3 linked regions of the Rattus norvegicus genome follow. The protein of the gene in region 1 purifies or fractionates together with the protein of each later gene. This does not show direct contact. Links are inferred from orthologs where the notes say so. Each region holds a gene or a part of one and is shown in the gene's direction. Other genes may lie near its edges. The genes, in order: Mphosph10, Imp4 and Imp3.

Region 1 (4,183 bases):
ATGACTAGTTTCAATAGAGGAGCAGACAGAACTTTCCAGGCTAATGGATTTGTCGCAAATGTAACAGGAACTCTGGAATGATACTGCCTTACACTTTCTTTCAAGTTGAAAATCTCAGACGGAGGGCAGTAACTGCCACCATGCAGAAAGGGAAGAAAATGGAAGAGAAAGTGAGACAGGCAGAAAAGTTGGGCATTTGTCACCAAGATTCTGCTTCTTGATTAATGAGATGGAGGTCGAAAGAACTCAAGGAACTTACAAATCCTTCTGCTTGCTCCTTTCCTGCTCATGTCAGATGAAAAAATTGAGTGTGGTACGTGTATAAAACTGGCTTGGACTGAGACTTTCAGGACTTGCCACTTTGCCCTTTTCTCCTATCTCTTAGAGGAGGCATTTAATAACTCGAGTCTCCTCCAGCTTTATTGCAAGTCCTGCCTTGCCTGTGTTCTTAGGCAGATTACCTGTCTGGTCCATGTTTGCCAAGGGCAACCCTTGAGCACAGAGAAGGACAATAAGGAACTCCCGTGCTAAAAGGAGCGCAGCTCCAGGAGCCCAACACTTCAGACCCAGGCCTTGGCCTCCCGCAGCCTCCCGTGCCCCGCACCCGGCGCCCCTGATGGTGCCCGGTATTCACCTGTAGCGCCTGCAGCCAACGCAGCGGCCTTCACTACCAGCCTCATCTCCTGAAGCTACAAGCTTGCACAGCGACCCCGGGCAAAGACAACTAGGAGAGTGGGCAGGGGGCGGGGCCTGAGGTGGGCGTGGAAAACAGGACAAGGGTGGGGCTCGAAGGCAGTGCCCCAATACCCTTTAGAGAGCTAGACGGCTGAAGGGGGTTGGGGATGGGGGCGGAAAGAGAGCAAGGGGCGGGGCCTGGGGCCTGGGGCGGGGTAACAAGACTCGGAGCTTGACTGACGGCTACAGAGGGTGGGAAAAACGGGGCAGTGGCGGACGCCGCATAGGGTGACCTTCTTTTCCGTTACATTAAAATACTTATTGTATCGAATGCAAAAGCAGAAAGCGACCACGCGACACCACTGCGGTTCTCTTAGAAATACAAAACATTTGGAGAAAGAGCCAAGACGCTTGAGATGACCAATAGCCCTTTTCGGTGGTCGGCTCCACCCCTACGCATGCCCAATAGAAGCGTTTGCTGCTAGGGGCCGGAACCTGTGTGTGGCGGAACCTTAGGCTCTGAGCTGCAGGTTGCTTGAGGCAAGTGTTTGCGGTACGACTTCCGGCCGGTTCCCAGCCCTCGTGTGGCGCCGTAGTGTATAGCTATGGCGCCCCGCGTGTTTCGTCGACAGACCCTTGAACGGTGTCTGAGGGAAGTCAGAAAAGCCACCAACCGACCCGAGTGTTTCCTCACGTAAGTGCAGATCCAACTCTGGCAGAGAGCGACCCGCATCACATCGGTGCTAGGCGGGCCGGCATCCGTCAACTTCTGAAAGCCAGGAAGTGAAGTACAGGTCGCTCAGTCCCAACTTCAGTTTTTTAACAGTAAAAGCGGTTCAGTGTAGATTTCCTAGTTGTGCACTATTGAACTAAGTGCAGTTAATTCGCGTCCAGAGAAGCGTATTGCGTGCGGAATACGCTTTCTGAATTTGTGTCCCCCAAATACACACCGCTTACCTGTCATTGAGCTTTATTGAAAGTACGTACTTGTTGCTTTTCAGTGTATTTTCACAACTGAGCTTGCAGAGACCCAAGCAGTAGAGGAAGCTCGGAGAAGCCTGTGGAAGGGGGGTGGGGAATGACTGTAGGAGGCATAGGGGTCCAGGACACCACAAGAACACGGCCCACCTAATCAACTAATCAGGGTTTATGGAGGGCCCCACAGAGACTTTATTGGCTATCACGGAACCTGCGTTGATCCTCTGCATATATGTTGTGGTTGTTTAGCTTGGGGTTTTTGTGGAACTCCTAACAGTGGAATAGCGGCGTTTCTGATTCTTTCACTCTTGGGGCCCTTTTACCCCTCTGGGTTGCCTTGTCTAACCTTGATATGAGAGATTGTGTTCGGTTGAAGCCTACTTTTTTTGAAGGGAAACCGAGGAGCAGTGTGGATCTGGGGGAGGTGGGGAGGGAGAAGAGGCTGCAATTAGAATGTTTTGTATGAAAGAATAAAAACAAATTAGGAGAGACTTCTTTCTTCCCAGCATTTTGATTAAGTTCTGTAAAATTATGACTCTGACTTATATTGAAAATTTTAGCAATAGCATCACATCATTGTGTCCAAAATAGAGCTCCCCTCCCCTCCCCTCCTGTATTCTCCTCTCCCCTAAAGTCATTTCCCCGTTTCTATTACCTTAGCTTACTTTTACTGCCCCACTAAATGGCAGTTCTATCATTTCATTTATTCAGATTCAACTAGTCTACTTCCTTGATGCTTTCCTTTTTGCCGTACTTTCTCCAACCCTTTAGCATCCTCAGAATCCTATCTACAATATATTTAGACACTGATTCCTAATTGTCATACTTCTGCCGTGTCTCTGACATAAAAATCCTTTGCATCAGCTTTCTAACAACCTTTAACATTCTTTCTCTCTCCAAATTGTAAATCATCATCACATATTACACTTTTAAGTGACAAATTCCTATCTCAGAACCCAGTTTCTATAACCTCAGCCACCCACTGTGCCTCCTCAGCCACACTACAGCTGTCTTGGTCTTTCTGTTCTTCGCATTGTCTGAACTCATCTCTCTGCTTCTAAATATTTCTTATAACCAGAATATGTGTTTCCACATCTGTACTAGACACTGTTTTTTCTGGAGGCCTCAATTTGTAGATCCCATTTCGGTTATCATATCCTTAGAGAATTTTCCTCAAACTTAAAGCCAAGTGGCAATCACTTGCCAAATGACTAATAATTGCAGAATGTGTGTAATGCAGGTTTGAGGATTTAAGGCTGACTTCAGAGGAGTAGTGATCCAGCCTTTAATATACAGAGCAAAATCAGATAACTGCGGTCGGACTCATCAGCAAGATACTGTTGGGAACAGGAATCTGTACTTAAAACTGATGTCCATTTACATTTTAATTTGTAAATAAGTTACGGCTTTTATTTCTTCTTTTATTTAAGAATGCTTGATGTTATTGTGTATAATTCATCTCACTTAATCTCCTTTCCTAATAGGATTCAAAATGGACTAGCATCAAACCTCACTTCATTAACAAAAGTTCTGTATGATTTTAATAAAATATTAGAGCATGGCCGGATCTCCGGAAGTCCTTTGCAGAAACTTGAGATAAAGAGTTTTGATGATGAGCAGATTTGGCAACAACTAGAACTGCAGAATGAACCAGTCTTACAGTACTTCCAGGATGCGGTTAGTGAGGCGGTTGAGGATGAAGATCTCAGCCTTCTCCCAGAGTGTGAGGATGAGGAGTGTGAAGAGGATGCCTCAGAGGTGGAGGCTGACAACCAGGAGAACGTGGAGACAGACTTGGAGGATGAACCACTGTCAGACGAGGGCGGCCATGTTCCTAAAGGGGGTGACAGAGCCAAAAGCTCAAGGAAACCTGACCCGAGGAAAAGTCCTGCTTTCAGCGATGAGGACTCTGACCTTGACTTTGATATTAGCAAGTTGGAGCAGCAGACCAAGATGCAGATCAAACCACCTAGAAAACCAAGGGAAAAGTCTGTAGTAGATGATAAGTTCTTCAAACTGTCCGAAATGGAGAGCTTTTTAGAAAAAGTGGAAAAAGAAGAGGAAAAAACACCTGATGGTGAAGAGGAGGAAGAGGAAGACATTGACCTTTTTGAAGACATTGATTCAGATGAAAATGAGGGAGGGCTATTTGGGAAGCAAAAGATTAAGGTAAGGTTTTGGGAGAAGAAACTGTTTCTTTAAAGTACAAGTCATGTTTTCCTAAGGAGAAATTTAATGTGCCTCGAACTTATTTGACCCCAAGTGACGTATGGAAAAAGGAGCAAACGTGAAGAATCGGACTAAGAGCTGAGCCAGTAGTGCAGGAGTCTAGTAAGCCTCAGGAGTGGGAGGCTGAGGCAAGAAGATGTCTCCTCAAAACCAGCCTGGGCTACATTTGCTTTGGGTGTCCTTAGATTTCTATGGTGGTTAACTAGTTGCCAGTTTCCCTAACAACTATTTTTGGTTGGCGTAATGGTAATGTTAGAAAACAGTTTGTATGGGTGTATAATATACCTATGTATATACATGA
Region 2 (4,385 bases), on another chromosome or scaffold:
AGGAATGATGCACTGGATTTAGAAGTTTATTTCCAAGGAACCCCTAGATATAGGGATATGCATTTTCTGTTCAGCTGAGCTCCTTTGACTGCAAAATAGACCCCACTATAAAACAGCCTACCTATAACTTCTTCTTTAAGGATTAAAGTACCAAAACAAACTCCATTTTGTTTTTCAGACTCCATTTTAAGCTAACTTGACCTCAGAGTGACTTGGTCTCTAACCTTGAGTTCTGAAAAAACAAACAAACAAACAAACAAAACCAACCAAACAAACAAACCAAAAAGAAAACCCAAGATATTCTTGGCAGTTGCAAAACGGACATAACAGCTGTGGCCAGTCGGTAATGACAGGGCGGGCTAAGAAAATAGGAATCGTTCCCAGGTCAAGATGCTCCTTCTAGAACGTGTAGTCCCTTCTTGTGGTTTGACCAGATGCTGTGAACCAATCAGCTTAAACACCAACATCCCTTAACCCTCTTACCTAATCATGTAACATCAAGGCTTGGAATAAACCCCATTCCCTTAGACCTCCTCGGGTCGCTCTCCTATCCTGTTACTTTGAACCCTACACTAGCAAAGTATAAAGAAAAAAACGTCTTCCTTAGACATTCAACTCTCCAGCTCAGGCGCTCTCCATTAATGAAGTAACTTCCTTAAATGTTCAATGAGTTTTGCCTTTAGCATAGAGTAAGGGCTGACAGGAGGAAAGGAAACTCACATGCTTCGCTAGGCCCCACTTCCTCGGGGATCTGGGCGTTAGCTTTGATCACTCTGAAGGTCTGGGGTCCATCCTGGGCCTCGCTGAAAGAGAAGGGAAGATGAACTCTGGCCGCGCAGGCCTAGGTCCTGCCCGCCCACTCTATATGGGGGTGAGGTGGTGGGAAGGGAAACGAGGGCGGGGGGGGGGGGGAACGGTGAGGGGGGAACCTCACCTGGCGCGCACGCAGACCTGAGGCTCCATACGCGAGGCATACTGCAGGGGCCCTACCGACTTGGCTCCCATGGCATAGCGAGCCTTGGCAAGTGAAAGCCAACCCTGGGGAGACAGGAGGACTTGAGACTGTTTCGCTCCCTGTGCTCGCTTTTCTATCCCTCCCTCCATTCCCCATGGCCCACCTCCTCCACCCGGGCGTTCAGTGCGGCCCTCTTCGCCTCCAGTTCCTCCAGGTCACTAAGCAGCTGTAGGCACTTTGAGTCCAATTCCTCTCGCAGGGCCTGGACCTCCATGGTCCAGGTAGTCTTGGGACGCGGAGGGGCAGAGCCACTTCCTTCCGAGCCCTCTAATCACTGTGAGCCCATGTGCATGTCAGCCAATCAACGCTCGAGATCCGCCCTTAGGAGGCGTTCCTAATCGTGGCCCGGAAGTCAAAGGTTTCAACTTCCGGGTGACCCGTGTCAACGGCCTGCATGAGGGTTAGCTTCTGGAACGGAACATTTCTCGAATCAGATGGCTATGAAAAGTCGAGTCCAGGAAGCCATCCACGCAGTTGCCACTCTTACTTTTTCTTAGCCTACTGCCTGACTGGCTCAAGCGTTGGTGAAGCCACGGACGGACTTATTTATCAGGGCGGCCTTAGGCCACATGACATCCCAAATTCGGGTAATTGATTGGTTGTCGGTCTGACCAATCACCTTGCGACGCCATTCGCCATTTTAAGATGGGGCAAGCTGCACGGCAGTGGAATTGAGTGAAGCCCCTAAAGGCCTTCCTAGTTGAGGGCGGAAGTGTCGCTGCGAGGTTCCGTCAGCGACCGAATAGTCCGGACTCGTGAGAGAGCGACGCTCATCATGGTAGGATGGTTTGAGTTCGTGTTCTGGTTTAGGGGGAAAGAAGTGGGGTACGGGAGGGCTGAGTTGTGGTCCTCGGTGCTCCGGAGTGGATGGTGACCCTATGTATTCTCTAGCTTCGTCGGGAGGCTCGCCTACGCCGCGAGTACTTGTACCGTAAGGCCCGGGAGGAGGCGCAGCGATCCGTTCAGGAGAAGAAGGAGCGAGTCAAGCGTGCTCTAGAAGGTAAGGCCTCCCTGTGCTCTTGGGTTTACAAGTCCTTGCTAGAGCATGCTGCACAGAAGTGTAAACGCGTTTGAACTTCTTGTATTTATATTAGTGCGGCTGAGCGTCTTTCCTTTCTTTGCCTGTTAGTTAGGACTTCTCACTGGTTTCTGAATGGACCCACCATGTGATGGCATGGCCGTTTATGCTGCAGTCGCCCATGTTTACAGATTGATTGCTAGTTACAGAATATCAAGTTTTTCTTTAGTTTTAAGACTTTTGCCTCAGTGGGCTCGTGGCGGCGCACGGCTTCAATCCCAGACCTCCGGAAGCAGACAGGCCAACCTCTGTGAATTCCAAGACAGCCAGAGCTAAAACAGAATCCCTGTCTCGAAAAACTAAAAAGCAAAACAAGCAAGAAACCTTTGTCTCGTCTTATTGATTCCCATATCTAGGGATGGGTCTACAAGAATCCTTGGTATTTGTTCTTGCTGTCTTCTTTCAAAACAGAAAAATCTGTTGATTGTTATAATTGTCTTGCATTTTAAAACTCTTATTCCATTTAAAATTTGCCATTTGCTTTGCAAGTTAGCTTAAAACTTTGCCTTTCGTTAATCCACATTTTCATTTGCCCTATTAAATAAAGGCCCTATATGACAGAGCTTAAGTGGAAATGTTCTATTTATCCCTATTTTGGCTTTGAATCCAAGGAGCTTTGAGTCTCCCGTCTGGTAGTACATCGTCCCTGGTACTGGTGACCAAATTCTGTTCCTATGTTTTAGTAATATAGAGTATATGTGTGTTATGTAAAGTTTGTTTGAGTAAAACTTAATGTTAGGGCTAGAATTGTACCTCGGCTTGAGTGCTTGCCTAGCACGAAGGAGGTTCTGGATTCTGTCCCCAGCCTAACTAAACTGGGCCTAGGGGCCTATGCCTATAGTGGAACACTGGTAAGGTGGAGGTTAGAGGTTCAAGGATTGCTTTGGCTGTAGAGTTCCAGATCAGCCTGGGCTGATACAGAAGATGTTAAGCGTCTGTGACTCATCATCATAATTTAAAAGTGGAAAAGAAGAGTGGAGATGACTGGAAGAAATTTCTCAAGGGTTAAGAGCACTTACTGTTCTTTGAGAGGATCCAAATTCATTCTCACTACCCATATAGAGTGACTCACAACTGTCTGTAATCCCAGCTCCAAGGGATCCAGTGTCCTCTGGCCTTAGCAGCTCCTGACACATGTGCGTGTAACTCAGTCAGACACACACATATACAGAAAGATGATGAGTATATTAACATTTATAACTATCACTATGTCCAATGCTACATTAAAAGCAACTGTTTTAAGCTATTATTTGTGTTTACATTATGCTTACTTATATCTCTAAGTTATGATGTTTGAGTTACAGGCCTAAGGATGTATATTAGAGTATGTGTTTGGCTGCTGTGCCTGTTGGGTTTGGGGGCTCAGTATCGTTTCTAAGATGCAGAAGGTATGGTCGGACTTAAATTCTTGTAAGTATCCTGTGACAGATAAGAGCTTTTCTTCAATTGGTAGCTAGAAGGAGTGCAGCTGCTCTGACTCTTCCCTGCTTCGCTCACATGCTAGAGAAGCAGATCTGGGCCTCAGCCCTGGCTGTCCCACTGTAGTCCACAGAAAGAATCTCTGGCTCACAGCCAGCTGCGGCCATGCACCTTGAGGTATTCTGTACATCCAGACAGCAGTGTTCTCTTTTTTTTATATTGTTGTTAATTGTTCTTTGAGGCAGGGTCTCGCTATGTAGAGTTGTGTGGCCTCACTATGCGGACTAGACTGTCCTCAAACTAAGAGATCCCCTGACTTTGCCTCCCGAGTGCTGGGACCAAAGGCGTGCAGAGGACCTTAGTATGCAATGTGAAGACCTGAAAGTCACGGTCTCCCTTCCTACTTAAGAAGCAGTTTCTTTCTTTTTTAAGTATGACTACTCCGATCGCATGTTCACCTGAATGCCAGAAGAAGATATCAGATCCCTTTATAAATCAGGGTCTTAACCTGCAAGCAAACTGCCCACCAGTACATTATCAAAGTTTCTTTAAATTTTTGTCTGGTTATAAAAATATTGATGATGATATGAAGAAGTATTTAGAAAGTGAGCTCCCCAGTGACGTTATAGTTGACAATTAGATGAAAAGAAGTTGGTAGCTAAGTGTGGTGCCATACCCTGTTATCGACACACTCAGAAGCCAAAGCAACAGGCTTCTCAAGACCATGTCTCCAATGAAATAATTAAAGTAGTTGGTTTGTTCCTTCTGTATTTCTGTACTGACTCTTTTGAGAATGTTAAGGAAGAACATTCCAGGGGCTTTCCTATTAAGTTTGTATTCCCTAGTGAACCACACAGTATTGTATACATTGGT
Region 3 (2,787 bases), on another chromosome or scaffold:
CTGTCTCAATAAAAAATAAAATAAAATAAAATAAAATAAAATAAAATAAAATAAAATAAAATGATGGCCAAGGTGGCTCATGCTCACTTGTAATCTCATTAATTTGGATCGAAGCTGGTTGGATTGTGGTGAATTTGTGGCTGACCTGGGCTACCTAAGGAAACTGTGTCAAAAAAAGTAAAAGGCACAGCTGCTTCCAATTCTGATTATTTGTTTGGTATTGCTCAGTATTACTTGGCAAGAAGAATCCCTCTGCCAGTCCAGTGACAGACCTGATGCTGGCTGGGATGGAACTATTCCTCAACTCTAGGAACCACTGGAACTGAGACGTTTGCAGAGTTCTAACCGCGTTCTTGGCAGAGACAATACTCTCCTCTTTTTAAAAATTTATTAGCATTCTACTTTTCTAACTTTGTGTACCCTTTTTTTTTTCTTTCTTTCTTTCTTTCTTTTTTTTTTTTAAAGATTTCTTTTATCAGTGCTCTAGCTGCATGTACATGAGCATGCCAGAAGAGGGCATCGGATCTTATTATAGATGGTTGTGATCCACCATCTGGGTAATGGGAACTGAACTCAATGACCTCTGGAAGAGCAGCCAGTGCTCTTAATTGCTGAACCATCTTTCCAGGGTTCGAGAGATAGCTCAGCCATTAAAAGTTTGGCTCACAACCAAAAATATGAGACAATTCTTTTAAAGACGATAACTCCTCACTCTGGGAACTGACATCTGCATCTATTGAGGGGGCAGACTGTCTTTGGTCATCAAAGACAGAAATCTGACAGACTAGGGGCTGCCAAGATGGCTCATTAAGAATAATTGACTGTAAAAAAAATAAAAAAAAAAAAAAAAAAAAAAAAAGAATAATTGACTGTTTTTTCAAAGGTCCTGAGGAATCCCATGATGGTTCACAAACATGGGATCTGAAGCTCTCTTTTGGTGTGCATGAAGACCGAGCACTCACATACATAAAATACGTCAATGAATAAATCTTAAAAACAAAACAAAACAAAAAAAAACACAACACTAGAGAAAGTCTACCGGACTGCTAATAAAGCTGTCTTTGCCCAACACGCCTCTCCTTCCGCAAGTCTTTCTCCCCACTCCCCTTTCAAAACAGGAAGTTCCAGATTTGGACGAATGAAAAGTCGGGGGCGTGTCTTCAATATTTCTTTTGATTGGTCCAGGAGCATGGAGGCGGGGGTCTTCCCTTGTCGTGGCGGAAATTACGTTGGGTTCTCAACGTGCTCTCAGCTTCTCGGGCTTTCTCCATCATGGTGCGGAAGCTTAAGTTCCATGAGCAGAAGCTGCTGAAACAGGTGGACTTCCTAAACTGGGAAGTCACCGACCATAACCTTCACGAGCTGCGCGTACTGCGACGGTACGGGCTCCAGCGGCGCGAGGAGTACACACGCTACAACCAGCTGAGCCGGGCCGTGCGCGAGCTGGCGCGGCGCCTGCGCGACCTGCCGGAACGCGACCCGTTTCGCGTTCGCGCCTCGGCGGCGCTGTTGGACAAGTTGTACGCTCTGGGCCTGGTGCCCACGCGCGGCTCACTAGAACTCTGCGACTCCGTCTCCGCCTCGTCCTTTTGCCGCCGCCGCTTGCCTACTTTGCTCCTCAAGCTACGCATGGCACAGCATCTCCAGGCTGCTGTGGCTTTTGTGGAGCAGGGTCACGTCCGCGTGGGCCCAGACGTGGTCACCGATCCCGCCTTTCTCGTCACTCGCAGCATGGAAGACTTTGTCACCTGGGTGGACTCATCCAAGATCAAGCGGCACGTGTTGGAGTACAATGAGGAGCGCGATGACTTTGATCTTGATGCCTAGCGAGTCTTGTCCTGGTTTCTCAGCTACAGGTCACTGAACCGGGGATGGGGAGAATCGCCTCTGTGTTCCGGGAAATTTTCTTAGAATTTGGACTGACAATTGACTGTGTCTTGAGAGACAGTGGGAAGCAGTTTTTACTGCTCTGGGGACTGTTAGCTTCTTGTACCTTAAACTGTGGTGTAGAAGCAGGAATGTTACCTCTTCCCTTCTTTGCTTTATCATCGTGAAATAGAACAGATGGAGAGTTTGAGTTCATTTTATTTATACCATTTAAAGAAATCCTTTCCTAATGCCAATAAATGTCCCGACCACGTTGTTTAAATGCACATTTTGGTCTGGTCCTTCGTCTTACCATATCTGTTGATCTCGCTAGCTGAAGAGCCTAAGAGGAGGAAAAGGGTTGTAGACGTGAGACTCTGCAGCCTCACGTGGAGGCTGCAGGATGTTGTACACGCTGGGCAGATTTGTCACTTACCCAGTCCTTTTCTCGGAATGAATGTTTTGGCAGAGCTTTTATCCACAAGACTTCCTGTTGATATTTCAGCCCCAGGAAATACCATATTAAAGTCTTGGAGTGTTTGCTTGCCTAAGGAAATGATCGCCCTGTAGTTTGGCCAGCTAGTGGTTAGAAGGGACCCAGGAGGTTCCTGAAAACAGATGTTCTTCAAGGTCCTGGCTTCAGAGTTACTAAAAAAAACAAACAAACAAAAAAAAAACAAACAAACGAGCAAAAGGGGTGGGTAGTGTTGGCACAGCCTTAAACCCAGCAGTTGGAAGGTTAAAGCAGACAGATCTTTGAGTTTGAGGCCAGCCTGGTCTACATTAAGGAGTTACAGGACAATCAGGGATACACAGAGAAACTATTTCAGGACCAAAAAAAAAAAAAAAAAAAAAAAAAACCAGCAGCAAAAGGAAAAACATGAAGCAATAGAACTGGTAAATAGATCACCAAGTTTTATC

Evidence for each region.
Region 2: the proteins of Mphosph10 (region 1) and Imp4 purify together in Homo sapiens (affinity purification with mass spectrometry; 3 studies listed by BioGRID and IntAct, with this or other methods). This does not show direct contact. The link is inferred for Rattus norvegicus from reciprocal best matches to the Homo sapiens genes MPHOSPH10 and IMP4.
Region 3: the proteins of Mphosph10 (region 1) and Imp3 purify together in Homo sapiens (affinity purification with mass spectrometry; 4 studies listed by BioGRID and IntAct, with this or other methods). This does not show direct contact. The link is inferred for Rattus norvegicus from reciprocal best matches to the Homo sapiens genes MPHOSPH10 and IMP3.

Annotation. Positions count from the first base shown.
Region 1 is NC_086019.1:127,372,980-127,377,162, reverse strand, and holds the start of Mphosph10 (U3 small nucleolar ribonucleoprotein protein MPP10), read left to right. Parts: upstream 1-1,236; 5' UTR 1,237-1,280; coding exon 1,281-1,369; intron 1,370-3,137; coding exon 3,138-3,822; intron 3,823-4,183. Other genes in the region: Mcee (methylmalonyl-CoA epimerase, mitochondrial), read right to left, coding at 635-680. UniProt on the Homo sapiens protein: Component of the 60-80S U3 small nucleolar ribonucleoprotein (U3 snoRNP). Required for the early cleavages during pre-18S ribosomal RNA processing. Part of the small subunit (SSU) processome, first precursor of the small eukaryotic ribosomal subunit.
Region 2 is NC_086027.1:44,148,571-44,152,955, forward strand, and holds the start of Imp4 (U3 small nucleolar ribonucleoprotein protein IMP4), read left to right. Parts: upstream 1-1,458; 5' UTR 1,459-1,790; coding exon 1,791-1,793; intron 1,794-1,906; coding exon 1,907-2,015; intron 2,016-4,385. Other genes in the region: Ccdc115 (coiled-coil domain-containing protein 115), read right to left, coding at 721-803, 935-1,038, 1,119-1,229. UniProt on the Homo sapiens protein: Component of the 60-80S U3 small nucleolar ribonucleoprotein (U3 snoRNP). Required for the early cleavages during pre-18S ribosomal RNA processing. Part of the small subunit (SSU) processome, first precursor of the small eukaryotic ribosomal subunit.
Region 3 is NC_086026.1:66,234,235-66,237,021, forward strand, and holds Imp3 (U3 small nucleolar ribonucleoprotein protein IMP3), read left to right. Parts: upstream 1-1,263; 5' UTR 1,264-1,272; coding exon 1,273-1,827; 3' UTR 1,828-2,152; downstream 2,153-2,787. UniProt on the Homo sapiens protein: Component of the 60-80S U3 small nucleolar ribonucleoprotein (U3 snoRNP). Required for the early cleavages during pre-18S ribosomal RNA processing. Part of the small subunit (SSU) processome, first precursor of the small eukaryotic ribosomal subunit.